5 linked regions of the Sus scrofa genome follow. The protein of the gene in region 3 interacts with the protein of the main gene of each other region in a pairwise test. Links are inferred from orthologs where the notes say so. Each region holds a gene or a part of one and is shown on either strand. Other genes may lie near its edges. The genes, in order: BNIP3L, IFFO1, LMNA, FAM161A and SYCE1.

Evidence for each region.
Region 1: the proteins of LMNA (region 3) and BNIP3L interact in a two-hybrid assay, tested with the Homo sapiens proteins (2 studies listed by BioGRID and IntAct). The link is inferred for Sus scrofa from reciprocal best matches to the Homo sapiens genes LMNA and BNIP3L.
Region 2: the proteins of LMNA (region 3) and IFFO1 interact in binary tests that used the Homo sapiens proteins (3 or more experiments, as listed by UniProt). The link is inferred for Sus scrofa from reciprocal best matches to the Homo sapiens genes LMNA and IFFO1.
Region 4: the proteins of LMNA (region 3) and FAM161A interact in binary tests that used the Homo sapiens proteins (3 or more experiments, as listed by UniProt). The link is inferred for Sus scrofa from reciprocal best matches to the Homo sapiens genes LMNA and FAM161A.
Region 5: the proteins of LMNA (region 3) and SYCE1 interact in binary tests that used the Homo sapiens proteins (3 or more experiments, as listed by UniProt). The link is inferred for Sus scrofa from reciprocal best matches to the Homo sapiens genes LMNA and SYCE1.

Annotation. Positions count from the first base shown.
Region 1 is NC_010456.5:10,315,631-10,322,277, reverse strand, and holds the start of BNIP3L (BCL2/adenovirus E1B 19 kDa protein-interacting protein 3-like), read right to left. Parts: upstream 3,591-6,647; 5' UTR 3,485-3,590; coding exon 3,388-3,484; intron 1-3,387.
Region 2 is NC_010447.5:64,127,060-64,131,995, reverse strand, and holds the end of IFFO1 (intermediate filament family orphan 1), read right to left. Parts: intron 3,908-4,936; coding exon 3,802-3,907; 3' UTR 2,164-3,801; downstream 1-2,163. Other genes in the region: GAPDH (glyceraldehyde-3-phosphate dehydrogenase), read left to right, coding at 146-245, 325-431, 553-643, 770-885, 969-1,050, 1,260-1,411, 1,499-1,577, 1,661-1,744 and 2 more. UniProt on the Homo sapiens protein: Nuclear matrix protein involved in the immobilization of broken DNA ends and the suppression of chromosome translocation during DNA double-strand breaks (DSBs).
Region 3 is NC_010446.5:93,900,906-93,907,022, forward strand, and holds part of LMNA (prelamin-A/C), read right to left. Parts: intron 6,004-6,117; coding exon 5,847-6,003; intron 3,631-5,846; coding exon 3,505-3,630; intron 3,237-3,504; coding exon 3,066-3,236; intron 2,865-3,065; coding exon 2,739-2,864; intron 2,210-2,738; coding exon 1,989-2,209; intron 1,896-1,988; coding exon 1,673-1,895; intron 1,237-1,672; coding exon 1,129-1,236; intron 1,022-1,128; coding exon 902-1,021; intron 464-901; coding exon 374-463; intron 1-373.
Region 4 is NC_010445.4:79,961,326-79,967,442, reverse strand, and holds part of FAM161A (protein FAM161A), read right to left. Parts: exon of another isoform or gene 5,993-6,117; intron 5,024-5,992; coding exon 4,797-5,023; intron 3,224-4,796; exon of another isoform or gene 3,142-3,223; intron 1,706-3,141; coding exon 539-1,705; intron 204-538; coding exon 36-203; intron 1-35. UniProt on the Homo sapiens protein: Involved in ciliogenesis.
Region 5 is NC_010456.5:141,726,030-141,732,146, forward strand, and holds the end of SYCE1 (synaptonemal complex central element protein 1), read right to left. Parts: coding exon 6,084-6,117; intron 5,456-6,083; coding exon 5,396-5,455; intron 5,056-5,395; coding exon 4,981-5,055; intron 4,342-4,980; coding exon 4,294-4,341; intron 4,063-4,293; coding exon 4,008-4,062; intron 3,316-4,007; coding exon 3,226-3,315; intron 2,978-3,225; coding exon 2,914-2,977; intron 2,182-2,913; coding exon 2,115-2,181; intron 2,030-2,114; coding exon 1,906-2,029; intron 1,834-1,905; coding exon 1,723-1,833; intron 1,591-1,722; coding exon 1,413-1,590; 3' UTR 1,372-1,412; downstream 1-1,371. UniProt on the Homo sapiens protein: Major component of the transverse central element of synaptonemal complexes (SCS), formed between homologous chromosomes during meiotic prophase. Requires SYCP1 in order to be incorporated into the central element.

The sequences.
Region 1 (6,647 bases), on a different chromosome or scaffold from region 3:
CCTTTTTCTCATCACTTACTTCATTCCTGATTTATAGCCTCAGAATTTCTTGATGTTCTAATTCTACCAATCCTCCAAAGTCCGTTTTTCTTTGGAAAGGAAAGACGGCAAAATATGAGGACTGTGCTGTCCAAGCAATGCAGAGTAGAGAAAAATCGCAGAGTGAATTTTCTTCCTAATAATCATGCTTTAAAATTAAAAACCAGAAACTCGATTATATCAAAAGACTATTTACAAACTAAAAACAATTCTCTTAGGCCAGGTTGCATATAGACACAAAACATGAGATATTTTCTGGTTAAGACTGAGAGTTGCTAAGAGGATTCAGAGCACGTGCCTACATTCTGTAACACACCTGTGGTTCATCACGAAGGCTGGTCCAGTAACGGTGATTACATTCACAACCGTATGCCATATTCATGCTTTATAATTTTATAATCACCAGTTCAATCCTCTTGCATGAAGGGGAGTGGGGGGAAGGGAGAAAAGGAAAAAGTATTTCTCACTCTCTCCCCAAGTTTTCAAGGTCCCACATGTAACTCATCCTAACTAGGGAGTGAAACATGTCATTACGTCTTATCTTCTTTCCTCAAAACCTTTATTTCATCTCAAGTACCTGATGCTGGAATCTGGAATGAGAACAGTCACTAATACTCTTCTCAAAAAAGGTTGACCTTCTTGCACAAGTACCTGCTTATACACCACTTAGGTGTTCAAAACAATATCATAAGGCATTGAAATTTCATGTGTCATGGCCTTGAAAGCCTTCTTGCCATCCTGGGGAAGCAAGTGCAACACAGTAGATGCTTAAAAAGATAAAAAAGGGCTGTAATTCCAACATGCACAAATTATTACCATAATTTTCCTTATATTACTTACTGAATTTTATGACATAAATTCCCAATACAAATATTTGTAAGTGACCTGATAGTTTTCTCTAGAATAAAACTATCAACTGAAAAATGTCCTTTTAATTTTGGAAGTAGTTCAGATATTTGTCCACTAATTTGTAATGAAAGTGAACAGTTCCCTTACAAGGATAAACTTTTTAAAAAAATCAAAGAAAGCTTTCATTATTCCAAATATTTCAATAACTTGCTATTAAAACTCTGCTTTGACCCCTGCACTAAAGATAAAATCCCAAGCCAGAGATAATCTGTACAATGAGTTCATCTCCTGTTTTTTTTCAGAGTTGTGCAACTTTACCCAACAAAGAACTTCAACTTATCAGCAATTTGGATAGTATTAGATGCCTGAATAAGTTGTTCTGCTCAGTGCCCAAAATCACTTGAAGGAATCAATAAGGCTTGTTTTTGTTCAGTCTAGTGTTGTATAATGAGCTAAAAAAACAGTAAAAGGCATGAGGAAAGTAATGAAATATGGCACTATCTAAAAGCTTTTCAGTAACATTGAAAAGCAGCTCACCCTAGCTTAAATAAAATACTTTCTATGTAGCAGACTTCCCAAAATGTGCAACATTTTGATAGCACACACAGGCTGAGTGTTCTTCCACTTCTGTAAGACTGAATACAAATGGAGCAGCAACTGATTGGCCAAGGACATCAAACATAGGTCTGTCAGGACATGGAGAAAAACCATCCCATATAGCTCATCCCCATTTTCCTGTCACATGATCAAAAGAAAATAAAAATCCCTTCACTTTCTGTGAAATTGTGTATACATATTAACCAAATAACCAACTTGTATCATAGGAAAACTGGAATACAATTAGGAAACAGTGTACTAAAAAGAGACAGATCAGCAGGCTACCTCTAAATAACAGGTAGGGTAACAGAGAATAAGAAACACACATAATCAGGGGATAGTGGGCCCCTGAAAAGATGTGTCCTGAAAGGAATGCCAGACGGGGTGAAAGTAAAACCTCCACTTTAGGACATAACCTGCTGTGAACATGGACAACACACTTTACTCTAGGCCTCTTTCTCTACCAGTAAATAAGAGTAGACAGTTACCTCTAAAGTTTCTTCTCATCCTAAAACCACATCCTTCTAAAAGAGGAGGCTAAAAACTGGTAAGTAATGTTAAAATGCATATTCATATTTGAAGCAAGTAATGTTTAAAGACACAAACATTAACCCTAATTTACTGTAGGAATTAATATATAAACCTTACGTTCTAGAACACTTCAAAAAGTTTTTAAAAGTCAACATTTAAGGAATTATCCATCAGAAGGAGCAGCAGCAATAAGGAATGAAAACATCTTGAAAATACTCAAATTCTATCCCCATCTTGTGAGGACAGGAACTCGCTTCCCTAAAATTTTTAGGCCATGCTGAAACACCTCCCTAGGATGAAAGATACTTAAGTGCCTTTGAATGTCATTTAAGCATCCAAATGATTTTTAAACGACTTCATCTGGCCATATGCTAACTGTCCCAACCACCTCTTCCAGGAGATGAATTACAGGAAGGTTAGGCAAGAACCTTTCCAAGACTTGCAGCCAGCTTTAAAGACAACTGGAAATAACCTTAGGACGTGATGTCTAAGCACCAGGATGTTAGGAAAAGCAACTGTAGTTGGTCGTAATTCGATACTGCCCTTAACTTTCAACTGCCCCGGTGTACGAAATTCATTGCCCCAGTCACTGTGATTTGTGCGATCTTGGATGGTTCAAGAGCTGTTCATAATCAGGTTTACAGGGCAAATAACCTCATCGTTTAAAAAAAAAAAAATTACTTGAGCAACTCTGAAACCTCTCAAAAAAAAAGTATCATAGCTTCCTCACCCCCCCTCACGTGATACAAGTAACCACTAAATTACCAAATAATTTTCCTAACCAGTCTGTGCTAACAAAGGGACGCAACAAGAGGGCTCACGTTCCGAGCCCTGGAGGGAAGGCCGACCCAGTGAGGGGTGGTCACCGGGCCTGGCCCAAGCTCCGCTGCACACTGGACCACCCGCCAGTCCCTCGGTCGCCCCCTCCCCTAAAACCGGCGCCTGCGTCCATCCCCCGGCGTCCCCGTCGCACGTCCCCATCCCTGCCCACGTCCCCTAGGCGGCCCGCTCCGCCCACCCTCCCTCCCCGCGCCCCAAGGCCCGCCCCTCCACGCCCCGATTGGCTGCACTCAGGGGCTCACCACAGGTGCGATCGGCTCGACCCCCTGATCTTCCCACCCACCTACCCTTCCCAAAGGCGAACCCAACAGCCCATCACCCAAGAACTCAGAAGGGAAAAGAGAGAGGTCAGGAGGAAGATAAGAGCAACTCCTCCTGACGGGTGATGGGAGCTGTCAATCACCCGCACATCCTCGACCTCGACCAATGGGCTGCCTTCTTTTCCCGCCCCCAGCGCGGAGCTGGCGGCGGCGGCCCGAGCAGCTCCTCCTCCCCCATCCCCTTTACCGAGCCCGCCGGGCCAGCACTTACTGTTGAGGCCGGCTGGCGGGGGCAGAGACTGTTCACCTTCCTCACAGTTGTTGTTGTTGTTGTGCAGAGGAGGCGGCTGCTCTACTAAGTGAGACATTGTCAGGCGGCTGGAAGAGCTGCGACCGCAGCAGTACCGTCTCTGGTTCTCCGGCAGCAACACAACAAGCCGAGTCCCCCGCCCCCTTTTCTGCGCCTGCGCAGTCCCTCCCCCGCCCCTGACGTCAGGGCCCGCCCCAGCCACGTGATGACAACACAACTGGCGACGGGGCGGGGCGCAGGCGTGCCCAGGAGAGCCACGGACTTGGAGACGCGCGAGTCACGGTGACGCCCGCGCCAGGAATGAATTCTTGCATGTCATTTGTATTGGCCGGATGGAGTGAGGTATGCGGCTGGAACCAGGATAGAGGATGGGCACAAGTGTGTCATGAGGAAGTGCAAGGCGCTCAGGCGCTGGCGCCCAAATCTCCCACACCTACAGTATCAACATTGTTTTATCCAATCTGTGAGCATTTCTTTTTTAATATCTGTAAGGACTCAGTCAGTAATAGGTATTGTGCTGACACAAAGAAAGCAAAAGAAGCCCTGGTGCCTCCCCGTCGTAAACCTAAAATAAAGCTGGTGGAACATTGACACTCCAGGCAGGGAACAATAAAGGCAGGCCAGACTTTCTAGTTGTTAAATAATGCAAAAATTTTTCATTACAGACCCCACGCAATCTTTGTTTTAAAAAGATGGAAAAGTTCAGGAAAACATAGAGAAGAAAACAATCATCCACATTCCATCACTTAACAATTTCTAGGACATAACATGGGAAGCCATGTTTCTTATACGTGAGTGACAGTAAACTATGTTCCAGAACACTCGCCCTGCTTCGTATCTCCATGACTTGTCGTTTCCTTGGTCTCATTTATGTGTGGCATTTATCTCAGCCTATCGCTTGTCCTTTAACCCTGTTTCATTCCTCAGAAGTTAAAATTTTCAGGCAATCACATCTATTATTTTCATATGCCTTGGGAACACCCTCACAGCAAGATACTGAATCCAGTCCCTATATATTTTTATAATTTTCTTATAGGTTTAATTTTTGTATTTATACCCTTAATCCATCTGAAATTTATTTTTATGTGTTGTGAATTGCTTAACTTCAGTTGTTCCCAATTGACCCAACAATATTAATTTTTGAGTCATCCTTTTCACACCAAAATGGCACCTCTATCAAATTCTAAATGAGTCCATTTCAGGTTTCTCTACAGTAGCTCTATCAGATAAATATTAGAGAAAGGACCTCCTTTTTTGTCTTTAAAAATTTTTTCATGACTAATTACTCTTCAGATGAACTTTGGGGAGATAATCGACATATTTACAAAGTTGTATACCATTCAGGCTGATATCCCTCCTTATTCTATCCTAAGTTTTTTAAAATGTTTGTATTAAAGTATAGTTGATTTACAACGTTGTGCCAGTTTCTGCTGTCAGAAAAGTGACTCGGTTGTACATATAAGTACATTCTTTTTTATGTTCTTTTCCATCATAGTCTGTCCCAGGAGATTGGATATAGTTCCCTGTGCTGTAACAGTAGGACCTCATTGCTTTTCCATTCCAAGGGTAATAGTTTGCATCTACTAACCCCAAACTCCCAGTTCATCCTTCTCCTTCCCCCTCCCTCACCTTGGCGACCACAAGGCTGTTCTCTAGTCTGTGACTCTGTTTCTGTTTTGTAGATGGGTTCATGAATTTTTTAAAAAGATGTTCTTCAAGGAGTTCCCGTCATGGCTCAGCAGTTAACAGAACCCAAATAACATCCATGAGGATGCAGGTTCCATCCCTGGCTCTCACTCAGTGGGTTATGGATCCAGAGTTGCTGTGAGCTGTAGTGTAGGTCAGTGGCTACAGCTCAGATTGGACCCCTAGCCTGGGAACCTCCATATGCTTTGAGTGCAGCCCTAAAGAGAAAAAGGGTGTGCTTCAAAAAGGTCGTAAACATTTCTTCATCTTTTTATACTCATTTTTTTTTAATGAGAAAGTTTCATTTTCTATGGTTTAAATAGATAAAATTGAAATTACTTTTTTTTCTCTTAAGGAAACATCCAGACCTAGTGCTTTTTCTAGGGGGAGGGGTTAGCTCTGTTTCTGTAGGATGTTACCTTTATTCCTTATATTGTGTTATATGTCCTCTCTTTTCTCAGGATTATGTTAGGTAATGGTTTATATCTGTTTTATTGACTTTTTATAATCTAATTCCTTCTCTCTCTCTTTCTCTCTCTCTCTCTCTCTTTTTTTTTTTTTTTTGCATTTTAGGGCCAAACCCACAGCATATGGAAGTTCTCAGGCTAGGGGTTGAATTGGAACTGTAGCTCCTGGCCAATGCCACAGCTAGAACAACTTGGGATCCGAGCCACATTTGCGACCTACACCACAGTTCACGGCAACGTTGGATCCCTAACCCACTGAGCAAGGCCACAGATTGAACCTGCATCCTCATGGACACTAGTTGGGTTTGTTTCCACTGTGCCACAATGGGAACTCCCTCTAATTCCTTCTTCCAAACTGTATTATTCTTAAAGCCTTTTTTATCAGATTAATTGAGATATACTTCACATACCTTACAATTAATCCATTTAGAGTTCACAGTTCAATGTTTTTGTTATATTCACAAAGTTGTGCAGCCGTTAATCTAATTTTGAACTTTTGTCACCCCAAAAAGAAACCCTGTGCTCATTAGTTGTTATGTTTCCTCTTTCCTAACTACTTATATCTGATGCTTATTTCATTTTTTTTTTATTTAGGTGTTTGAGAATTTTTCCCTGGTTAGAGTATATTTTTGTACTATTTCAAGTTTGGAGTTTTTGTTTTTGTTTTTGTTTTGTTTTTTTGTCTTTTTGCCATTTCTTGGGCTGCTCCAGAGGCATATGGAGGTTCCCAGGCCAGGGGTCGAATTGGAGCTGTAGCTGCCAGCCTATGCCAGAGCCACAGCAACTTGGGATCTGCGACCTACACCGCAGCTCATGGCAACGCCAGATGGTTAACCCACTGAGCAAGGGCAGGAATCGAACCTGCAACTTCATGGTTCCTAGTCGGATTCATTAACCACTGCGCCACAACGGGAACTCCTGGAGATTTTTTTCTTAGGTTTTCTTTGAAACCTAATATGTAATTCCTTTTTTAGGAATGTTTTATGAGTATTTGAAAGAAAGTATAGTTTCTGTGTTCAGGGCAGCAAGTTTGATGTATCTAATGGAACTACCTTAATAATAATGTCA
Region 2 (4,936 bases), on a different chromosome or scaffold from region 3:
GCTGGTCTGGCAGGGTTGTGCGAGGAGGAGGAAATGAGATCTCCTGGTAGGAAAGTGCCCGCGCTGACAGCGGGCGCGTGGGCCTGGGACTGCTTACATCTCCAGGAGAGCTCACTCCTCCCTCCTCGCCTCTTGTCCCCCTCAGATTTGGCCGCATCGGGCGCCTGGTCACCAGGGCTGCTTTTAACTCTGGCAAAGTGGACATTGTCGCCATCAATGACCCCTTCATTGACCTCCACTACATGGTGAGTGGCCCCCGTGGCGGGGGCGGGGACAGAGCCTGCCAGGGCGCAGCCCCTTGATGCCCTCCCTCGTCCCCCCCAGGTCTACATGTTCCAGTATGATTCCACCCACGGCAAGTTCCACGGCACAGTCAAGGCGGAGAACGGGAAGCTTGTCATCAATGGAAAGGCCATCACCATCTTCCAGGAGTAAGTATGGAAGACGGAACCGGAAGAGCTTTGCCTTGGAGGAGGTGGTGCTGGGACGGGGTGACCACCTTGGGTCTGTGGTCCCCCGCGCCCCTGAACTTTGTCCTGTCTTCCCTTCTAGGCGAGATCCCGCCAACATCAAATGGGGTGATGCTGGTGCTACGTATGTTGTGGAGTCCACTGGTGTCTTCACGACCATGGAGAAGGCCGGGGTGAGCGGCAGGGAACCGAAAGAGGAGGGGACCTAACCGCGGGGTTGGTGTAGCGGGGAGACTGGGGGAGGCTGACTTGGACCAGGAAAGGGGAAGCCCGGGTGTCTGACTGCTCCTCTGCTGCAGGCTCACTTGAAGGGTGGGGCCAAGAGGGTCATCATCTCTGCCCCTTCTGCCGATGCCCCCATGTTTGTGATGGGCGTGAACCATGAGAAGTATGACAACTCCCTCAAGATCGTCAGGTGAGCTTGGTGGAGGGGGCGGGGGGGGTCATGCTGCGCGGGACCCCGTGGACCTGCCCGTTGACTTGCCTCCCTCGTTTCAGCAATGCCTCCTGCACCACCAACTGCTTGGCACCCCTGGCCAAGGTCATCCATGACCACTTCGGCATCGTGGAGGGACTCATGGTAGGTGATGGGGACTGAGCCAGAGCACGTTCTGTCCTCACCCAGGACTGGATCCTTCCCCTCCCAGAGCTCAGCCCGGAGCTGTAGGGGCTCAGGACATCAGAGGAGGGGTAGGGTGGGGTGGTTCCAAGCACTGTGTCCCTTAGTTCTTCCCAGAGGAGGCGTCACAAGCGCTAGGCAGGGCCTTCACTCCCCCTCCTTGTCTCCAGACCACGGTCCATGCCATCACTGCCACCCAGAAGACTGTGGATGGCCCGTCTGGGAAGCTGTGGCGTGATGGCCGAGGGGCTGCCCAGAACATCATCCCTGCTTCTACCGGCGCTGCCAAGGCTGTGGGCAAGGTCATCCCTGAGCTCAACGGGTGAGGCTCTTTGCTGCTCTCCTGCCCTGGGTGTCTGGGGCACCAGCAGGGGTGGTGCTGACTCTGCTTGCTTCCTCGTGTCCCCAGGAAGCTCACTGGCATGGCCTTCCGTGTCCCCACCCCCAACGTGTCGGTTGTGGATCTGACCTGCCGCCTGGAGAAACCTGTAGGTTTGGGTTGGAACAGCTTTGGGGGGCTGAGGGGTTGTAGGATTGGTACTTGAATAACCATCGGTTTTTACCTCATCAGGCAAAATATGATGACATCAAGAAGGTGGTGAAGCAGGCGTCCGAGGGCCCCCTCAAGGGCATCCTGGGCTACACTGAGGACCAGGTACTGATAGGTCAGGGAACTTGGTGTCCACACGACCCCACTGACCAAGACTGGGTTCCGTAATTGGCCCTCTTCCTTCCCCAGGTTGTGTCCTGTGACTTCAACAGTGACACTCACTCTTCCACTTTTGATGCTGGGGCTGGCATTGCCCTCAACGACCACTTCGTCAAGCTCATTTCCTGGTAGGGTGCTGGGGGATGTGGCGGGTGGGGAGGGATGATGCTTCAGAATGTGATCAAGTCTGGTGCCCCCTGGTGGCTGCTCGGGAAAACCACACTTAACTCTTGCTCTCCTTTCAGGTACGACAATGAATTTGGCTACAGCAACAGGGTGGTGGACCTCATGGTCCACATGGCCTCCAAGGAGTAAGAGCCCCTGGACCACCAACCCCAGCAAGAGCACGCGAGGAGGAGAGAGGCCCTCAGCTGCTGGGGAGTCACAGCCCCAACTCGATCCCCCAACACACCGAGCATCTCCTGACTTCCAGTTTCCATCCCAGACCCCCGGAAGAAGGGGAGGGGCTTAGGGAGACCTGCCTCGTCATGTACCATCAATAAAGTACACTGTACCCAGCCTCCTGTCGTTCTCACTCTAGAGCCTGGGATAAAGAGGAGGGAAGCCGGGCTGGGGCCAAGGAGAACTAGAGCTTGCTGAGGAAACTCCACCCTGGGCTCCTCTGAAGAGCCACCTGTCCTCGTGTTGCCTTAGTGAGGCCTCTGGGTGCTACAGCTCCAGACTGCCGTGGCTGAACCCAGGAATGGCCTGGCTGCTTGCACCCAAGACACCATTCTGTCTGCAGCTCCCTGGAGGGGGGCACTGGCACAGGAAGTCCATTTGGCTACGGCCTGACTGCCAGGAGTGGATTCCAGCTCTGCCCTGTCACAGCTGTGAGCCTCAGTGCCCAAGAGATTGCCATCTGTGGTACAGCTGTGCCAGTGCCAGCTCAGAGATTGTTCAGAGAAGTTACAGTAGGTTAGCCCAAGGGAAAGGTTGGGGTGGTTTTATTTCCATGTCTTCTGTCACCTGCGAATGCGCACAGGCTTAGTGGGAAGAAGCAGAGACAGCACTGACAACCTGGATGGAGGCCCTGGTTCTGCTACTTGAGGTGCCATTACTTTGGGCAAGTTGCTTGTAACCCTGTGTGTCTGTGCAATGATCACCAGTGCACACCACACAACAGGGACCAGAGCCACCACCGAAAAGTTGCTGGAAACAGTGACACCAAAGCGTTCAATAAATACTCGCCAGTTTCATTAGGATTAGATTCCACTCAAACGTCAGTTCAGCACAGCCTGCCTCAGCCAGCAAGGCCGAGGTACCCTCAGTCACGTCTCCCCATTTTTCTCCAAGCTTTTCTGAGTCTGGGCCACCTTCTCACTCGGCGTGTGTCAGACGAGGAGGAGGAGGAGGAGGAGGCGCATCTTCGGCTGATGCTTGAAGAAACAGACCCCTGAGCACAGGAGCACACATGCGCCCACACACGCTCACGTGCACCTTTCTCCGTCCCTCGGCAGTGACTGGGAGACTGCAGGAGCTCCTGTCCCCTCATGCTACTGCACCCCATCGGCCCCAGAGGCCGCCTAGACGCGTGGCACTTCCACGAGGGAAGGGTCATGGCCGCGTCACTCCACTGTCCATGGGCAGAGAGCCGCCCAGTCCTGTTCCCTGCCCCTGCGACACAGAGGGACGCCCTCTCCCGCTGCTCAGGCCGTACCAGCACCTGGGCCAGTGAGCACCAGAACAGAATCAGGACGGTCCGCTGGCTCAAGACCACCGGGGTGGAAGGAAGAGCCGACAATCACACTCCTTACTCAGAGGACGGGGTGAGGGTCGCGAGCACTCTGGCAGCATTTTAAAGATGGGAAAGTAGCGGACACCCACGCATGAAGGAGGACAGCCGGCTGTGCAGGGAGTCGCCCGGGAAGGGCGGGCTGAGCCTCACTCCAGGCACCCCAGGACCCTAGAGAGGCCGAGGACCAGGGGAGGAAGCCGGGGGAGCGCCCGGTCCCAGGGGCCAGGCTCGGTGAGTCCCAGCAGGGCCCCGCTGCGCGAGGTCCCTATCTCATGGAGCTGTCAGATGAGACATCGCGATCGGAGTCCTCAGCCTCGCTTGGCGGTGGCGGCGGGTCGCTAAGCGGGACCGCAGTGAAAGCAGGAGACTTTCTAGAAAAAAACACCAGTTGTAACCTCCTCCAGGCATGCAAGAATCCTGACAAGCTGGCATCCTGCACCCTTGGCCTTATTCCTGGCAGGCAGGTGAATAACATCTTAGGCGGGGCAGGAGGACTACAGGACAAGGGCGGATGCGGATGCAGGGCAAGGCCGGCAGGGAGGGAAGAGGAAACCTTGCCCACTCCACCCCGATGGGGGGAACAGTTCCCACTTTTAACTTGGGGACCAGGAGAGGCTGAATAGAGGCTGAGTTCAGAAAGATGTGAAGTCACAGTTAAGAGGGGCCGGCTGAGTGCCCTGGCTCTGTGGCCCCCACTCCATGCTTATCTATAGCGGGTTTGTGATTTATTTATTTATTTATTTTTAATTTCATGGCTGCAAGTGCAGCATATGGGAGTTCCCAGGCCAGGGACTGAACCATGCCACACCTGTGCCAACACCAGATCGTTTACCCCTCTGTGCCGCCAGGGATCAAACCCATACCTCTGCAGCCCCCTGAGCCGCCGCAGTCAGGTTCCTAACCCACTGCACCACAGCAGGAACTCCTAGTTTTACGATTTTTTTCAAAGCTTACACAGAGTCAAAGGCACAAATTGTGGCTCTAACTTTAGATAAAATTTTGCCCCCACCCCCTTGCACTCTTTGTCAGAATTTAGCTGCTTTTCTTATTTTTTTCAGTGGCACTCATGGCATGCAGAAGTTCCCGGGCCAGGGATCAAACTTGCACCACAGCTGTAACCAGAGCCACAGCAGTGACAACACCGTATCTTTAACCCACCGAGCCACCGGGGGACTTCTTAGCTGCCCTTAAGGGGTGCAGGGGCAGCGGGTGGCACCGGAAGCACATGAACGTTTCTGGGGCCAGGGATCGAATCTGAGCCGTAGCTGTGACCTACGCCACAGCTGTGGCAATGCCAGGTCCTTAACCCACCATGCCACAGCGAGAACTGCCTTTCTGAGTGGGGGAACCACCAGCCTTGGCGGCATCGGGAGGTTTGGGCTGCGCAGCCGTGAGTGGAC
Region 3 (6,117 bases):
GGGGACAAGAAGAAAGGTGCACGCCACAGAAAACGGGGGGAGAGAGGCAGGGCTGGGAGCCCCACATCTGTCCTCCCGTGCCCGTCCCAGGAGACAAATCCAGAGCCTTGCCCGCTGCTCCCAAGGGAAGACTCCGTGGCATCAGGAAGTTCCCACTCCCTTCCTTACCAGAGTAGGGCACCCAGACACCTGGGTTCCCCGTTCACGGTACAGGGAGGAGAGAGAAGAAAAGCCAGGGCAGCGAGTGAAGTTCCAAAACATTCTTTAATGAAAAGATTTTTGGCACGGGGTGGCCGGGGAGAGGCGGTCCCCAGGCCTGGCTGGGTGCCCCAGGGTGGGCTCAGGCTCGGCCTCAGCGGCGGCTGCCACTCACGTGGTGGTGATGGAGCAGGTCATCTCCATCCTCATCCTCGTCGTCCTCAATCATGGTCACCGAGCGCACCAGCTTGCGCATGGCCACCTCCTGCCGGGGACACAAGATCCCACCCGGGGGTTAGGGGCTCAGAGCCCTGAGGGAGGGGGGCTGCACAGCAGCCCCACCCCAGGGACCCCCTAAGAACCTCCTCGTGGTCTGCCCTTTGTCCAACCTGTGGCTTACTCTGTCCTTCCTCTGTGGCACTGGAGCTGAGGAACTTGTTTGTGCCCCAGAGGGCCACTGCTAAGCCCTCTGGGTAGGAGCACGGTCTGCCTTTAAGGACCCTCCCTGTCCAACCTCCCCGCTCCTACTGCTGGGGGAGGCTTCTTTGGGTTTGCCCACTGAGAGGGTCTGGGGCCTGCGACTGCACAGGAGAGCTGGGGGCAAGTGGCCCTGAATTGGCTCCCTTGAGTTGGGGGCAAGCTGGCTCCAACCTTGGCCGTCTCATCCGGGGAGCCCTGGCCAGCGAGAGGCCAGCATACTCACTTCCCCAGTGGAGTTGATGAGAGCCGTGCGCAGGCTGTTTCCGCAGCCCCAGGTGTTCTGCGACTTCCACACCAAGTCGGCTGGGGGGCTGTGGGTGGCCCCCGCTCCCGCAGCCCAGATCTGGTGAGGGAGAATTAGAGAAGGGTTCTCACTCTAGCACTCCCATCCTTGGGCCAACCCATCCCTACCCACAGCCACCCCCGCGTCCCAAACACCCTGCCACTCACCGTCACCACCTGCCCGGCCTTCAGAGTGAACTTTGGAGGGAAGCGGTAGGTCAGCAAGGGATCATCTCCATTCTGGCGCTTGATCTGCCAGTTGCCCATGGACTGGTCCTGCCAGGGAGGGAAGCCGAAGGCGGGGGAGGCTCATTCGGGCTCTTGGGATCCTCCCACTCAAGGGCCCAGGCAGGCCTCAGGCAGAGGTCTCTCCCTCTCATCCACCGCCCCTCACCGCTCTCCCCTTCAAGGATGACAGTGGCCACCTACGGGCACGCATGCTGGGCTAGACGCACTCTGAGCTTTCATCTTCCCAAGAACTCAAAGAGTTCGGGACTCTTTGTAGATGAGGAAACTGATGCTTGCCTAAGGTCTCAGGGCCACTGATGAGCCCCGGCGCCAGGACTGGAGCCTGAGTGTGGAGGAGAGGTACACGCACACGCGCTGGTCTGTCTCTGATGAGAGGGATGGCCCTGCCCTCAAACGCCATCCCTTCACTTTTGGGGTTTCTCCCAAAGCCCGCTGTGTTCTCAGACCCCACCTGGGGGCCTACCTCATTGGACTTGTTGCGCAGGCGCACGAACTTGCCCTCCTCGTCCACCTCCTCCACGGCCACACGGCCGCTGGTGCGAGCGTGCTGGGAGAAGCTGCTGCGGCTCTCACTGGACTCCAGCTTGCGCTTTTTGGTGACGCTGCCCCCACTCTGCGTCTGGGACGAGTGGGAAGAGGCCCGGCCGCGGCTGCGCTGCGAGGTCGGGCTGGGGGACAGGCGTAGCCTGCAGAGGGGGAGACAGGGAGGGGAGCCTCATCAAGGCCAGTGGCAGGCTGGAGGCGGTTGCCAGCACCTCCTGGACTCCCCCGCAGCCTACCTCTCCTCCTCGCCCTCCAGGAGCTTGCGGTAGGCGTGGATCTCCATGTCCAGGGCCAGCTTGATGTCCAGCAGCTCCTGGTACTCGTCCAGCTGCTGCTGCATCCTTGCCCGCATCTCCGCCATCTCCCGCTCCTTGTCGGCCAGCAGCCGCCGGCTGGTGTCACGCTCACGGGCCAGCGAGTCCTCCAGGTCCCGCAGCTTGGCCTCCTTGGCTGCCAGCTGGGAGAGGGAGGCAGGGGTCTGGTGAGCTCCCAGAGGCCCCAAATGGGGAGAGGTAAGGGGTAGGGGACACCCAGCTGCCTCGCCAGGATCCTCAGCTCTCATCAGAGCCTTTCATGGACTTTGATGAGGCCTCGGCTGGCTGGCCACCGGGCAGTCCTTCTCAAAGTCCAACTGAAATCTCTTAATCTGAGGCTTGAATCTATTTCCTCCTGCCACAAATGGCACAGCCAGCTAGACTATTGATGCTTTCGACACCTCCGACTGAGTCTTGAGGCAGATCTCTAGGGACGATACGAATGATCTGCATATTCAAAGGGGAAAACCAAGGCTCTGAGAAGGAAGGTCTTTCAGCTTAGATAAGAGAAAGTCCTGGAACAGCAAACAGGTCATCTGACTCCAAACCCTAGGCTTCTTACTTAGCCTGGGGTCCTGGAGGCATGTCCTGTCCTGCACCCTCTTGCCCTCAGGACCCCCACCCCATGTCCTGCCCAGACTGTTGGAGGAGGGGGTGAGGTGGGGGCATCACCTGCTTCTGGAGCTGGCTGAGCTGGGCCGAGAGGCTGTCGATGCGGATGCGGGACTGCTGCAGCTCCTCGTGGGCGGCCCCCACCAGGTTGCTGTTCCTCTCGGCCGACTGCCTGGCGTTATCCAGCTGGAGGGGAAGACGCGGGGTTAGGGATGCAGGGGCCGGAAGGGACCTGGGAACGGCATCTCTGCTGCAGCCTCAGGTCCTGGGCACCCGGGGCTCCTGCTATCATCCACCCGATCCCGCAAGGGACGTATCAGGGTGGCAGAGGTGGGGGGAGGGGTGCCAGGGTCAGAGGCAGCGAGGGAGCCACAGGAGAGCGAGCACCTTGGCAGAATAGGTCTTCTCCAGCTCCTTCTTGTACTGTTCCACCTGGTCCTCGTGCTGGGCCCGCAGCTCCTGCAGGGCATCTGCCAGCCGGCTCTCAAACTCGCGCTGCTTCCCATTATCAATCTCCACCAGCCGCGTCTCATGGCGGCGCTTGGTCTCCCGAAGCTCCTGGAAGGGTTGGACCCAGAAACCAAAATCAGAACTAGTCCTCTGAGGATGGGACCCAGGCAGGTGGCTGAGCTCCCGACCCAATCCTAACCGCGAATGGAGCCACTGTGAGCCCCCCTTTAACCTGAGGGCTGGCCACTCCCCGTCCCCCCAGACCCAACTCCCCATCCACTAGTACAAGGGAGTCAGGCAGGGGAGCTCTGCACACAGCCAATGTCCCAGCCCCAGCTCTGACGTCTGTCCTCCGGTCTCAGGGCACAGTCCCCACCTCGCTGTAAATGTTCTTCTGGAAGTCCAGCTCCTCCTTCAGGGTCTGCAGCCTGTTCTCGGCATCCACTCGGCGCAGCATCTCATCCTGAAGTTGTTTCTTGGCCTCACCCAGGGCTGCCTCGAGCTGAGAGGAAGGGGGCAGAGAGGAAGGAGCCAGAGGTCAGGGAGAGGGCTCACAGGACATCGGAGCTGGAAGGAAGCTGAGGAATGGGGAGCATCCAACACATCCCTCTCTATGTGCACAAACAGGTCCAGGGGAGTGAGAGCCTTGGGTGCCCCCAGAGGCAAGGCGATCCACTCCCTGGCAGGAACGACTCTGGGTAGGTACAGTGCTAAGAAAGACAAAAAAAAAAAGACTGGCGTTCCTGCTGTGGTGCAGCAGTGCAGGGAGGTAAGGATCTGCAATGCTGTAACTGATGAAGATTGCAGCTGTGGCTCGGCTTGATCCCTGGCCCGGGAACTTCCATATGTCTCTGTATGGCCATTAAGACAAAAAAAAAAAAAAAAAATTGCCTCCTCTGTTTGGCACAACCTAGCAATTGCTATAAAGGAAGCATGTTCAGAGTAGAGAAGGAACAGGAAGGAAGTATGTGTCTGGGGTGGGAAGGCCTGTAAGAGGCTCAGATCTGAAGGACAAGGTTATCGGGGCCTGGAGAGGAACACCGCCGTGACTGCTGGGGCAGACAGGAGCAAGTGCAAAGGCACTGAGGCATGAAGGCACACACGTGCACTTCAGGATCTTCAGAAGCCTCAGTACTGCTGAAGTCTGAGTGACAGGGCGGAGCAGGGGCAGCATGATGGCAGAGGTGGCCGGGCTGGAAGGCAGGGGCTGGATCATGGAGAGGCGAGCCCTTATCTGCCACAAAAAGAGCCTCTAAAGTTTGAGCAGGGGAGCTCCTTTCTTATTTTGTTTGTTTTGTTTTGTTTGTTTGGCCACGCTTGCAGCATGTGGAAGTTCCTGGGCCAGGGATCAAACCTACACCACAGCAGTGACCCAAGCCGATGCAGTGACAACACCAGATCTTTAACCTGCTGTGCCACAAGGGAATTCTGGGAGCACTTTTCTTAGATCTTCATCTTAACAAACATGAGCTGGGCAGTGCAGCTGGGAGGGGCTGCAGGGCAGGGCAGAGACCTGGGAGAAAGATGGCCCAGTCTTGGTTTTGTAGTCAACCTGCTGGCATTTCCTGGTCACTCCTCAGTTTACTGTGGTGGCAGGGCCTTCGTCGGGGTAGAGAGCCCAGGACCTGACCCTTGGACTAACTCTAGTCCTGGCCCTGCTCTGGGCAGATGAGGCAGTGAGATTGGGAACAAGCCAGCTTCTTTGATTCTGTTCCCTAGCTTGTAACGTAAGAGAAAGGATAGATAGCAAAGTGTTTTGAAAGTAAAGACCATTGCATACACATGATATACATGCCAACCACTAAGAACATGAATCTTAAAAAACATAAAAGGAGTTCCCGTCATGGTTCAGTGGTAACAAACACGACTGGTATCCATGAGGATTCGAGCTCAATCCCTGGCCTTGCTCAGTGGGTTAAGGATCTGGCATTGCCGTGAGCTGTGGTGTAGGTCACGGATGCGGCTTGGATCCCACGTTGCTGTGGCTGTGGTGTAGCCTGGGAACTTCCATATGCTGCGAGTGTGACCCTAAAAAGCAAAAAAAAAAAAAAAAAGAAGAAGAAGAACATGCATCTATATGTGATTAACCATCAGCTTCCTACAACCAGGGCTCTGTGGATGGTCTATATTCTTCTCCCATCTTCCAAAGAGATCACAGCTCTCTACAGCAGGGCCAGACCAGGAGGGATCCAGGGCCAGGCACAATTCATTGCGAAGTTAAATGGAAATGGTTTATGGATTTTTTTTCTTTCCTTTTTTTTTTTTTTTTGTCTTTTTGTCTTTTAGGGTCGCACCCATGGCATATGGAGGTTCCCAGACTAGGGGTCTAATCAGAGCTGCTGCTGCCGGCCTACGCCACAGCCACAGCAACACAGGACCCAAGCCAAGTCTGCAACTTACACCACAGCTCACGGCAATGCCGGATCCTTAACCCACTGAGCGGGGCCAGGGATTGAACCCGCAACCTCATGGTTCCTAGTCAGATCCGTTAACCACTGAGCTACGATGGGAATTCCTACGGATCCTTCTAAATTCACGCTGCTGGACATGGGCAGCAAAGGAGGTGCAATATGGTCTGGATGGGTACAACAATTCTAGGACACGTGAATGGCTCCAAGGCCATGTGACAGATCAGACCAGGTACCTCCTGAGAGCACCTGGGGTGGAAGAGTGTGTATTTGTTTGGGGGCAGGGGGACAGGGGGCAGGTGGGCCCCACCTTGGCCACTTGTCCTCGCAGGTCATGCAGCTCGCCTTCCAGCGTGCGCTTCTCGCTGAGAGCGGTGCTCAGTGCTGCCTCCTTGGAGTTGAGCAGAGCCTCCAGGTCCTTGAGCCGGGCCTGGGCGGCCATCAAGTCTCCCTCCTTCTTGGTATTGCTAAAGAAGCCAAGGAAGAGGGGGTTTAGGGGAAAGAGTCTATGCCCCTAAAGAGAGCCAAGTCCCCCAGGAAGGGAGAGGAGCCACTTCCTGGGAGGTTGGCTCTGGGGCCTG
Region 4 (6,117 bases), on a different chromosome or scaffold from region 3:
CAATGATCTGGAGGGTCAGGACTCTCTCGTGATACCTGAGAGATTTTACTCTGGATTTAGACATCTGAGCTAGACTTTGATGTGAGTCATAAGCCTTAGCCCGGGTTGTCAGAAGTTTCTGCAATTCTTTCATTCTTTGCTTCTGCTTAGTTAGGATCCGATTTCTCTCTTCTTCCAACATTTTCTTTTCCTCAAGTGATCTCCTGAGGGCAACAAACTAAGGCTTAATTCACTTTAAGCCAATGAGAATGTTGTTTAGCAAAGATTTAACACAGGATAATTCAAAGGTTGAAAAAAAGGGGCAACCTTTTGAGAAGGATCTGACTTGTAAAATTAGAAATCAATAGGCTGACTATAACCATTTCTATTCCCAAAGATTCATAAAATGGAAAATATATCACTTCTTAGAAGAACACCCTTTGGCAAATGTTCTATATTACACAGTAAAGTATGTTACCAGATATAATAACTTCACATTTTCGAATTCCACGTACAAAAGCAATAGCAACCATGAATCAGTACCGCATCGCTTATTTACCTTGTGGCTTGCTCTCTTCCCCTAGAGGACACTGTGGGCATTGGAGGGTTGTAGCTACAAGATGCAGGCTTTGCATTCATACTTCTTACTGGTGATTTGTGCCTTGGAGAAAGATAAGGCCAACGTGTTTCTTTTAAATTTTCTTCATCTGCTTCAATGTCTGCCAGAATTTTCTCTCTTTTAGTGGAGGCATGTGAGGCTGTATGAAGGTCAGACGGTTCACAGACTGTTAGGAGTTTGGGACATTTCTGTTCCGAGTGGTATTTCTGATATCCCTCAGGAAGGTCTTCAGAGTCAGCAGTCTGGCACCTAACTTTGTGTTTATACTTTGACCTTTCAGCCTGTTCAGGACACCTGGGCTTCCTTGCAGCAAAACTTCTGCGAGCTGGACTGCAAGGCAGAGGGGATGAATTTTGTAATAACTCTTGGGCTCTCCGCTGTGTCCTAATGTTTCTATAAAACTCATCTTCTGTTAACTTGTCTTTGACAGTTGAACCATAAGTAGATAGAGGGACAGGTCTGGCTTTGAATCGATTTGTTTTCTTTTTAGACTTAAAAAAGTCTTTTAGCTGCTTTTCACGAATTGCTTGCTTCTGTTCCTCTCTTGCCATAAACTTAAACGGCCTTTGTGAGGCCAAAAGAGCTTCTTTGTATTTCTCCCTCATAGACCTCCTCCGTTCCTCATTTTGCTTGACTACATCATGATAAAGGGGAAGAAAAACGAATGCAGGAACTGGATTGGCTCGGAATTTTTTCTTACACTCTAATTCTTCTTCTTGTTTTTTAAGCAGTTTATGTACCATTTCAACATCTGACTTAGATTTCATGTTCTCTTCCTTTTTCTTCTGCTCTCTAATCATCATTTGAAAAGGCTCAGGTATTGTGATCTTTGGAACCCATTCTTTTGGTTTCTTTTTTATTTTTTCAAGTGCTGGCAAGTCAGCATCTTCAAACTGAATATAATCTTCAACAGAGAAGTTGGTCCACATGTTGTTGATGAGCTCCTTGGCATAGGTCATCATTCTGCTTTTCTCAGAATACTCCTTTTCTAAGTTGGGTGACTCATCTTCAGAGGAATATACAACCAAGGAGGAAGACTCACCTAAATCAGGCTCTGAAACCGATGTCATTAACGAGACAGGACAATAGCTCTTTTCTGATACAGACCTAAGTAAGTGAAAGGAGTAATTAGGTTACTCTTTCAGTTGCATGTGACTAAATATAAAAATTAAGAATTACATAGTTCCGGAGTTCCCGTCGTGGCGCAGTGGTTAACGAATCCGACTAGGAACCATGAGGTTGCGGGTTCGGTCCCTGCTCTTGCTCAGTGGGTTAACGATCCGGCGTTGCCGTGACCTGTGGTGTAGGTTGCAGACTCGGCTCGGATCCCGCGTTGCTGTGGCTCTGGCGTAGGCCGGTGGCTACAGCTCCGATTCGACCCCTAGCCTGGGAACCTCCATATGCCGCGGGAGCGGCCCAAGAAATAGCAACAACAACAACAACAACAACAACAACAACAACAAAAAGACAAAAAGACCAAAAAAAAAAAAAAGAATTACATAGTTCCAGAGTTCCCGTCATGGCTCAGTGGTTAGCGAATCCGACTAGGAACCATGAGATGGCAGGTTCAATCCCTGGCCTTGCTCAGTGGGTTATGGATCTGGCGTTGCTGTGAGCTATGGTGTAGTTTGAAAACGAGGCTTGGATCCCGAGTTGCTGTGGCTGTGGAGTAGGCTGGCGGCCTCAGCTCCAATTAGACCCCTAGCCTGGGAACCTCCATGTGCCGTGGGAGCAGCCCTAGAAAAGGCAAAAAGACAAAAAAAAAAAAAAAGAATTACATAATTTCTGGGAGTTTCCACTGAAGCTCAGCAGAAACTAATCTATCATCCATGAGGACACAGGTTCAACCCCTGGTCTAGCTCCGTGGGTTAAGGATCCAGTGTTGCCAGGAGCTGTGGTGTAGTTCGCAGCTGTAGCTCCAATTTGACCACTACCCTGAAAATTTCCATATACCGCAGGTTCAGCTCTAAAAAAAAAAAAGAATAGATTTACATAATTTCTAAGATCAAGATAAAATCAGTTAGATGGAGTTCTCTTGTGGTGCAGCAAGATAAGGATCAGCTGCTGTCACTGCAGTGGCCTGGGTCACTGCTGTGGCGTGGGTTTGACCCCTGACCTGGGGACTTACACATGCCAAGGGTGCGGCCAAAAAAAAAAAAAAGTTAGAAAATAGGAGCTGGTTAGGGCTTGTGAAAATTATCGCTTTTTTTTTAGAAGAAAGACTGCGAGATGCTTATAAACAATCTTTTTTTTTTGGCTTTTTTTGCTATTTCTTTGGGCCGCTCTCGTGGCATATGGAGGTTCCCAGGCTAGGGGTCGAATCGGAGCTGTAGCCACTGGCCTACGCCAGAGCCATAGCAACGCGGGATCCGAGCCTCGTCTGCAACCTACACCACAGCTCACGGCAACGCCGGATCGTTAACCCACTGAGCAAGGGCAGGGACCGAACCCGCAACCTCATGGTTCCTAGTCGGATTCATTAACCACTGTGCCACGACGGGAACTCCCTTATAAACAATCTAATTGGACTTTGTCATTTACAGGGGAGGAAGCTGAGACGGCAGAGGTGCCTTGTATCCAACCGCTACTGAATTCTCCACACATCTTCCAGAGTCACTATCATAAAACACACATCTGACCACCTTATGCCCCTTCCAGAAACTTTTCTACAATTTGTTGTTACAAAGTCTAGATTATAAAGCCCTTGAGGACTAGCCCTTGTCTACCTTTCTAGTTTCACATCTTGCCTCTCCCTCCCCTGTCGCCACTCTTAAGTCAGATCTAATCATGGGAAGTTCCTCACACAGTTTTCTGTGGCACCAGTGCTTTTGCACACATGGCTCTGTTGCCTAGAATGCCATTCCTTGCTTCCTACATCTGCTTCAGCCATTTCCCCTTTAAGATTGAACACAGGACACTTCAAGTACCTGCATCCCTCCACTGACATCTTGACATAATCAACAGCTTCTTCCTCTGTCTCTAACACTCTGCTACACTGTGTTGTATTTCTGGATTTCAGCTAGTCTTGGACTTCCTTGAGGGCACTTTAATTTTGACTCCTCAGTGCCCAGGCACAGTCTGGCACATGGGAGATGCAAATTAGCACCAACCAAGTGGATGAGTTAAGGGACTTGCCTCGAGTTTCAAAAGAAGCAAGTTTACGGCAAAAATTACTATTTTTTGAAAACTTAAATCAAGATTTCTTTTTTCTCTCTCTGTCTTTTCTAGGGCTGCACCTGCAGCATATGGAGGTTCTTGGGCTAGAGGTCTAATTGGAGCTACAGCTGTTGGCCTACACCACAGCCAGAGCAACTCGGGATCCGAGCAGCATCTACAACCTACACCACAGCTCATGGCAATGCCAGATCCTTAACCCACTAATTGAGGCCATGGATTTGAACCCACAACCTATGGTTCCTAGTCAGATTCATTAACCACTAGGCCATGGTGGGAACTCCCAGATTTATTCCTTAGTCCTGAACAATTCATACTCTATCTTTAATAAGCTCATGTTAACTATAAAGAGCTTTTAAAATTAAATTTTAATACTCATCATTTGAAAATGGCCCAGACTAAATATTTCTGATAAAGTCTTAAAAGTGGTGGGTCAGAGAGGAAGGACCAAATGGCCACTAAATGACCCTCAAAGCAAGAAGCCACCTAGTAGGTCGATAGGCCAGCAAACAACCTGAATAAAATTCTACTTCTGTATATCACTAAAAACACAAAGGGATGGAGTTCCCTTGTGCTTCTGTGGCTTAAGGATCCAGCATTATCACAGCTGTGGCTTGGGTTGCTGCTGTGGCACAGGTTTAATCCCTGGCCTGGGAACTTCCACATGTCACGGTGTTGCCAAAAAAGAATTTAAAAAAATTTTTTTTAAAAGGGATATTTGCGGAGTTCCCATTGTGACACAATGGCATTGGTGGTGTTTTGGGAGTGCTGGGACACATGTTCGATACCCATCCTGGCACAGTGGGTTAAGGATCAAGCCATGCTGCAGATGCAGCTTAGGTCAAAACTGCAGCCTGGATCTGTCCCCTGGCCCAGGAACTACATATGCTGCTGAGAAGCCAAGAAAGGGGGAGTGGGGATGTGGGGAATATTTGTGAGAAAATATTCTGAAATAATTTTGTTCTGCACTTTTAGGTACACATTTTATTTTACATTCCACAAATAACATTATGTACAAACTTACTTAGAAGAGACACTAGCAGCTTCTTCCCTGGTGACCACTGGCTGAACTTCCTTTAAATTTAGTTTATTCTGGTACATTTTCTCTAACTTGGCCATAGTTTCCATGTGGGCAGCCTTCAGCTCTTCTAGTTTCCTGAAATACTCTTCATTAGAGTAGTAAATATCAGAAAAGTTCACAAAATCCTGTTTTTGTTCACTCACCCCAGAAACGTCGGTGTTAAAATCAGCCTGGTAGGAGGAAAAAAAATGTTATATGATGTCTGGAATTGAAAACCAAATTAAGCTGACACTGATTCCCAATGCTGCTTTTTTATTTTTATTTTTTTTTAGGGCTGCACCTGCAGCATATGAAAGTTCCCAGGCAAGGGGTCAAATCAGAGCTGTAGCTGCTGGCCTATGCCACAGTGACAGCAATGAAGGATCTGAGCTTTATCTGCAGCCTATACCATGGCTCAAGGCAACATCAGATCTTTAACCCAATGAGCAAGGCCAAGGATGGAACCCACATCCTCCTGGATACTAGTTGGGTTCGTTACCCACTGAGCCACAACAGGAACTCCCCCAAGGCTGTTTTAAATTTTAAAAGTCCCCTTAATCAGGTTATATGTTACATGTGGACTCTGTACATAATGGATTATAAGCTACTTGTAGCTAGATACATTTTCTCTTAATGACATTTTATTCAGAATGAGAGATACCAAGTTGCCCAAAAATAAATGCTATTTCATTTATTTTATAAAGGATGGTTAGATTCCCAGATCATGTACTAACCCATACACTGTGAAAGTATAAAACTAAATCTTTTTCTTTCTTTCTCTTTTTTTTTTTTTTTTTTTTTTTTTGGTCATTTTGCCTTTTCTAGGGCTGCTCCTGTGGCATATGGAGGTTCCCAGGATAGGCATCGAATCGGAGCTGTAGCCGCTGGCCTACGCCAGAGCCACAGCAACGCGGGATCCGAGCTGCTTCTGCAACCTACACCACAGCTCACGGCAATGCCAGATCCTTAACCCACTGAGCAAGGCCAGGGATCGAACCCGAAACCTCATGGTTCCTAGTTGGATTTGTTAACCACTGTGCCACGACGGGAACTCCTCTTTCTCTTTTCTTTCTTGACCACCCCAAGGCATATGGAAGTTCTGGGGCCAGGAATCAGATATAAGCCACCATTCCACGGCTGCAGTGAGACCAGATCCTTACCTCTCTGTGCCAACCAGGGATCCATCCCAGTGCTGCAGAGATGCCTCTGATCCCTCTGTGCCACAGCGGGAACTCCCAACCCACCCTTCATAGAGGCTCCTTCTGAGTGTAGGTTTACCTGAGAT
Region 5 (6,117 bases), on a different chromosome or scaffold from region 3:
CTGGGAAGCTTTGTTTCCTGTTCCCACAACTGTATATTTCACTGGCCTAGAGTCTTAGTCCCACAGGGAGAATTGCTCCCACTGTGAGATACAATAATGATTCCACTGACCTGGAAATTAAAATTGCTGCCCAGACACTTTGGGCTTCTCATGCCTGTGAATCAATAAAGAAGGGATTTACCATGCAGGCTGGCATGATTGGACTTTTTCCCCAGGGTGGAGGTAAGGAAAGTATGTCTGCGCTACAGGAGACACCCTAAGGCTTCTTTAACTATCACCATGCCCTACAATCAGTGCCAACGAAAAATTTCAGTAACTCAAACCAGTAAGTAACAGCCTTCAGGAAGAAAAGTTAGGGTTACCCCACCAAGTAAGAAGCACAACCACCAGAGTTGTTTGATAAAGGCAAAGTAGATACAGAAAGTATGTTGGAAGAAGGTGAAGGTCGTTATAAATACCAGCTGTAGTTCCATGATCAGGTAAAGAAATGGACACACACACAGAAATGAGGGCTGTTGAAGTTTCTGTCTGTCCTGCTATGTCACTGTTCTACCTGAATGGGGGAGCCTTTTAAGAGAAGGAATTTCTTTGTAACTGAATCCACTGTCTGTTAACCCAAAAGCACAGACTTTGACTCCCATCATTGCCCCTGCTTGGATTGATGGATTCCAGTGGATTTGATAAGCACACAATAGTCCAAGGTGACTGACTCCCAGGACACTGAGGATTTCTGACATACTCTGCTTTTGTAACAGTGTCTCAGGTATAGAGTTTGTGCCCATGAAGGTACAAACTACATTTAGGATCCAGTTACATTTCTTTTTCTCAGCTAATCAATGGGGACTGTGGGCATGGAACTGACAGGCTGAGGTTCTGGTTTACATAACCCCTGGGCCTATTGTGAGAAGGTCTCAGTCCTGCATCCCTGTGCCTGGGGGTCCTTGATCATGTCAAGTCCTAGAGATGAGCAGACCCAGAGACTGTAAGCTTAGGGAAGCATTTATTGAGTGCTTGCTGTGGGACTCTGGCTGAGGCCAAGAGGCAGAATGTGGCCCAGAGGTCTTGGGACAGACAATCCCCCACCTAGCACAGACTCAGCTGAGGCAGTTGTACTGAAGTGGTGCCTTTATTTCCTGAAGCCCAGGGTATAAGCGCCAGTGTATGGTGGGTCCTTCTTGCCTAGGAAGACATTAGGCCCTGCTTGATGGGCAGCTCTGGGTCTTTCTCCTCACTGACTCCAAGGGTCTTAGGATTAGCCTGTGGGAGGTCAAGGTCTGAGGTTGAAATCCCCTCACATTCCTTTGCTCACACCCTCCCTGGGATCTGCCCCACCTCACCCCACCACTGCCAGCCTCTGCACCTTTGTCTTGACTGTGTCCCTGTAAGAATGCCTTTCCCTGAAGACCATCTTCTCAGGATTCTGCAGACCCCCTCCTTGCCTTCCCACCCCCAGCTCCTTTCATGAGCTGTCTCTGCTCCCTGCACCCGATTCCAGGGCTCACAGCTTCTCCTGGGCTAGCTCCTTCCTCTTGCTTTCTCTGGCTTTGAGCAGGGACCTGCACCCCAAGCTTTTCCAGCTCTTCTTTCAGCCTGAGGTAGGGTAGGAGATTGGGGAAGGAGAAGGGTAGGATTGTGAAGAGACCAAGAGACAGAGTCTGAGAGGGAGGAGACTCCCTCAGCTACCTTCCCAGTGAGGATTGCAAGGAGGGGCCCTGTGCCCACCTCTGCTTCTTCTGCTGTAGCTGCTGGCACTTTTGTTGTAGCTGCTCCTGGCGCTGGGCAGCAGCCCCCAGGAGCTCCTGGGCCTTCCTGTTCTCCTCTTCAAACAGATGCCTGAAGATGGGGCCATCAGTGCTAGCAGCTCCCTTTCTCTACCCCATCCCACCCTCTCCATCTCTGCCTTACACCACAGCTGCTGCCTCCTGGCTGCGGAGGAAGAGCCCCTCAGTGATGGTTGAGCAGCCCTTGGCTCCAAACTGGGAACACAGACGATGCTTCACATCCTCCAGCTTTGCCTCCACCAACTTCTCTGTAGCAGGAAGGAACAGATGGGCAGGGTAGGGCAGGGCAGGGCAGCGCAGAGTTGATCTGGGCATCCCTTCTCCAGGCCTCACCTTCCTTGAGCAACTGTTCCTTGTTGCTGTCCAGGGCATCAATTTCCAGGGCCAGTTGCTCTGGCTTCTGAGGGGTAGAAAGATGGCCTGTCCACATCTCCCATGTGCTGCAGTGAAGCTGACCAAGATCTGGTCTTCCTTACTTCCTACTACTTTGGCCCTCCATGTATGCCAGGCACAGTCCAGCTTCAGGGCCTTTGCACTGGCCATTCCCTCTGCCTAGAGCTTTCACTCCAGATACCTAGGGTGCTGTGCTATGCTGGAGAGGCTCATGAGGTCATGAGTATTCAGGAATTAAACAAGGTTTGAAATCGGCCCTAGAATGAGTATTTACTACAGGAGATCCTGCAAACAGTACAAATCAAGGTTTTTCTTTTGAGAGTAAGTTACCACCCAGTAATGCAGCTCCTCCTCTTACCATCATGTGACCTCACTGAGCTCTTCCATCTGGACAGTCATTTTCTCTGCCTATTTTCTTGTTTGGGATCCCCAGATGCCTGCCCTGTGTCTGTGATGGCCCCAAATACATATATGGATCTCATTTTTGGGTGAGCCCTCCTTGGTTCATCGGGGTTCCTCATGACCACTTAAGGATACTTGGAGAGCATCAGGGATGGGTGGGCAGGTCTGGTGAAGAGGTCAGCAGCAGGTGGCAATGAGGGTGCTGCACAGCTGCCAGGGTTTGTACGGAACTAGGTGTGGAAGTACAGAGGAAGGAGGCCTGGAGAATTCCATTGGTTTGGGGCCTGGTGCTGCCGGGGGAGATGCGGAAGGTTGAAGGAGTGGCTGAGTGACTCACATGGAATTCCCAGAGGTCCTTATGCTGGCCCATCAGATCCTCCAGCTGTTCTTCAAAATCCAACCTGGAGATCAAGCACATAGGATGAGGGGCCGTGGGCTGAGAGACACCCCTCCCCAACCTTGCACAGCTAGGGCCTTCATGCACAGACCAGGGGGAGCTCACCCATGCTCTTCATGCTGCTGGGAACACCTTCTCCACTTTGACCCTCCAAGCTTCAGCTCGGCCAGCTACTCTTCTAACCTCCATTGCTGGTATAACTCCCACTGACAACCCAGCCCAGCCCATCAGGCTTCAGGTGATGGGCTTTACCTCAGCTTCCTCTGTTTGTTCTTTTCTTCCTCGATCTGGGAATTCAGGGCAGAAATTCGCTCCTTGCATTCCTGCAGCATGGTTTGCTTCCTGGCAAGAGTCAGCGCAGCCCTTCATCATGTTCTCTGAATGTCTCCCTACATTCAGGGGTTGGGGTAGGGCTTCTGCATCCTTCTCTTGAGGTCTGTTCTAGCCTTCTAGATTGAGGTCCATCTCTGTAACTTTGTAGGGGGACATGAGCACATGCCCCCAGGAAATGTCATTGTGAAGATTAGAGAGATCAGTGTGGGTCTGGTCAAATGCACAATCACACAGGTTAACCTCATGTGAATTTCTCTAACAGTTTCAATCTTGGTATGCTAGGGGCTTGGGGCTTCTGGTCACAAGATGAGCAAAATAAGCATTGAGGAGGTAGAGATCAATGCACAAATAGTTGGGTGGATGGAAGGATAATGGATGGAGAGATGGCTGGCTTGATGCCTTAAATGAAGGGACAGATAAGCGAACAAACAGCTGCTGTGGAAAGTATCAAAGGTACAGAATAAAAACCAGCTGAAGGAATTTAACATTCTAGCAAATGAGTGCTTATTCCAGGTGGGTGAGTGAGAGGGTATTCTTAACACTACTGCCCGCTGTTGCAGCCAAGATGGAAAGACCCTTATTTGGCCTCTCCATTTTACAGAGGGAGAAGATGAGAGCTGTGGGTCTAAAACTGATTTCACTTACTTTCTCTACCAGAATGAAGGGGTAGCTTGGAGCAGGGCCCAGGTAGAGGCTCTTACCTCTGTGCCTCACTTTCCTTCTCCTGGCAGTGGAGCCGGAGGATCCTCAGGGTCTCTGCAGAGAGAGGAAGTGAGGGGGCCATGAGAGCTCATCAAGGCATGAGGTTTGGGCAGAGGTAAAAGGGCCAGGTCATGTGGACACCGTATGGGACTGTCATTTACTGTGGTGGAATCCACAGGAGGGGTGCAAGGTGATTCAGGTTTCAAAAGGCTTCTATCACTATAGAGAGTAGGCTTATACAGGTTGGAAAAGGCAAAAACATGAAGACAGAACAGCTATAATTACCTTGCTTTTTGCTCAAGATCTCTTTCAGGCGTACTTTCTCTCCACTCACTGGAAAAAGTAACATGTTCAGGCATCAGGGACCATTCACTGCACCCCTGGGGACCAGGCCTGCGCACGGTCACATGGGCAGTTTCATACAGGCTTACCCCTGACCCCAAATGTGGACCCCCAAGGTGACCCTCTCCTCTCTTGTGCTGACACTCGCTATAAGCACTAGAGTCCTGAAGGTGATAAAGGGTGTCTGTGATGACTTTGTGGGATGCCAGTGTGTTTACATGAAAGGGAGAGAAAAAATAAGAAACACATCACATGAAGTGGGACAAGGACTGTGAAGAAATAACATCAAGCAGTAAGTGGCACGTGCCCAGGCAGGGACAGGGTGCTGTTTTTAGGTAACTGGGGAAGGCCTCTCTGAGCATACTTGAGCTGAGAGCTGAGGATGATGTGAGGCAACAGGAAGTGGTGGTATCTGGGGGGACTGTCTAGCCAAGGCCCTGAGGTAGAGGCATGCTTACAGAGTTTTTCAGGAACCTTCCCACCAACACAGTGGGAGGAGCAGGGATTAGAAGGATCTGAGGTTGAAGGGCAGGAGCCCTTGGTCACAGCCAAGAACGCAGACATCTGGAATACTGTGTTCAAAGCTGCATGACATTGTGTGGACCTCTGGGTGACCGGTGACAAGCTTACATGAGTCAAGTTCCTTTTGCAGGGTCTCCCAGACAGTCCGGGCCTCTCCCAGCTCTTCACTGGCTTTCTTTTTTGCTGTGCCAAAGAGTAAAACATTATTTAAGTGTCTTTTCCTTGCAAATATTTCACATTTGTCTTCAAGTAAACCTAAAGGGGCTCAGGCTTTACAGAGCAGGAAATGGGGCTTCCAGGAGCCTAAGCCCTTCCTGTTAGGTTCAGGTGGCAGCAGGGCCAGGTTAATAAACATGACTATAGCAGTTAGTATTTAGATGGACCAACCCATGCCTCATTTAATGCTCTGCTCTTTCAAAACACTTTGTATATTTTGAACTAGGGGCACCGCATTTTCACTTTACACTGAGTCCTGCAAATCACATAACTTATCCTGGTTGACAAGGCAAGGTCCTGAGCTCACCTTGCTGAACCTCATTAATCCGGTTAATCAGGACCTCAACCTTGGGCTCTAGGCTTCCCGCTGCAGGGAGAAAAGGAGGTTGAGTGACTATGACAGGACAGACAGAGGGAGGTGGATGCCCCTCCAAGGGCTTACATCTTGGGTAGGGGAGACAGGAACAGAGAGAGACAAAGTCAGATTGTGGTAACTGCGGTCAAGAGAAATAGGTAATGGATTAAAAAGTAAAGGAGCAGGACACGCTTCTTCAGATATGGCAAGACCTCTTGAGAGCCCCAAATCAAGTAGGGTGGGGTAGGCCTTGAAGTTCGCTGGGTGGGTGTGAGACAGTGCAAAGGCCTGCCTTGAGGTAGGAACATGGCTGGGAGGTGTCTGGTAAGGAAGCACAGAGGAGCAGATGTGAGGTGGAGGGAAGGGAGGTAAAGGTGAAAAACTGTTTTCAGCAAATCGCAGTGGGAGCCAAATGGATGGTGAGTAAGGGGAGTGTTAGGACAATGTTTTGCATTTTATTGCATTACACTTTAACTTTGAATCATGGGTCATATTTTTAACTCAGAAAATTAAGGTTTAAAAGTAAGAGAAAGCAAATGACTTCATTTCCCAAGTTTGTGAATATGGGGGCTTAGAATTGATTCTACTTCTGCCTGAACCCAAACCTCAGGCTGAGCCTTAGTTACAGAGGAGACGTGACCTTTCTGCAACTTCTTCACCATTTCCATCAAGTC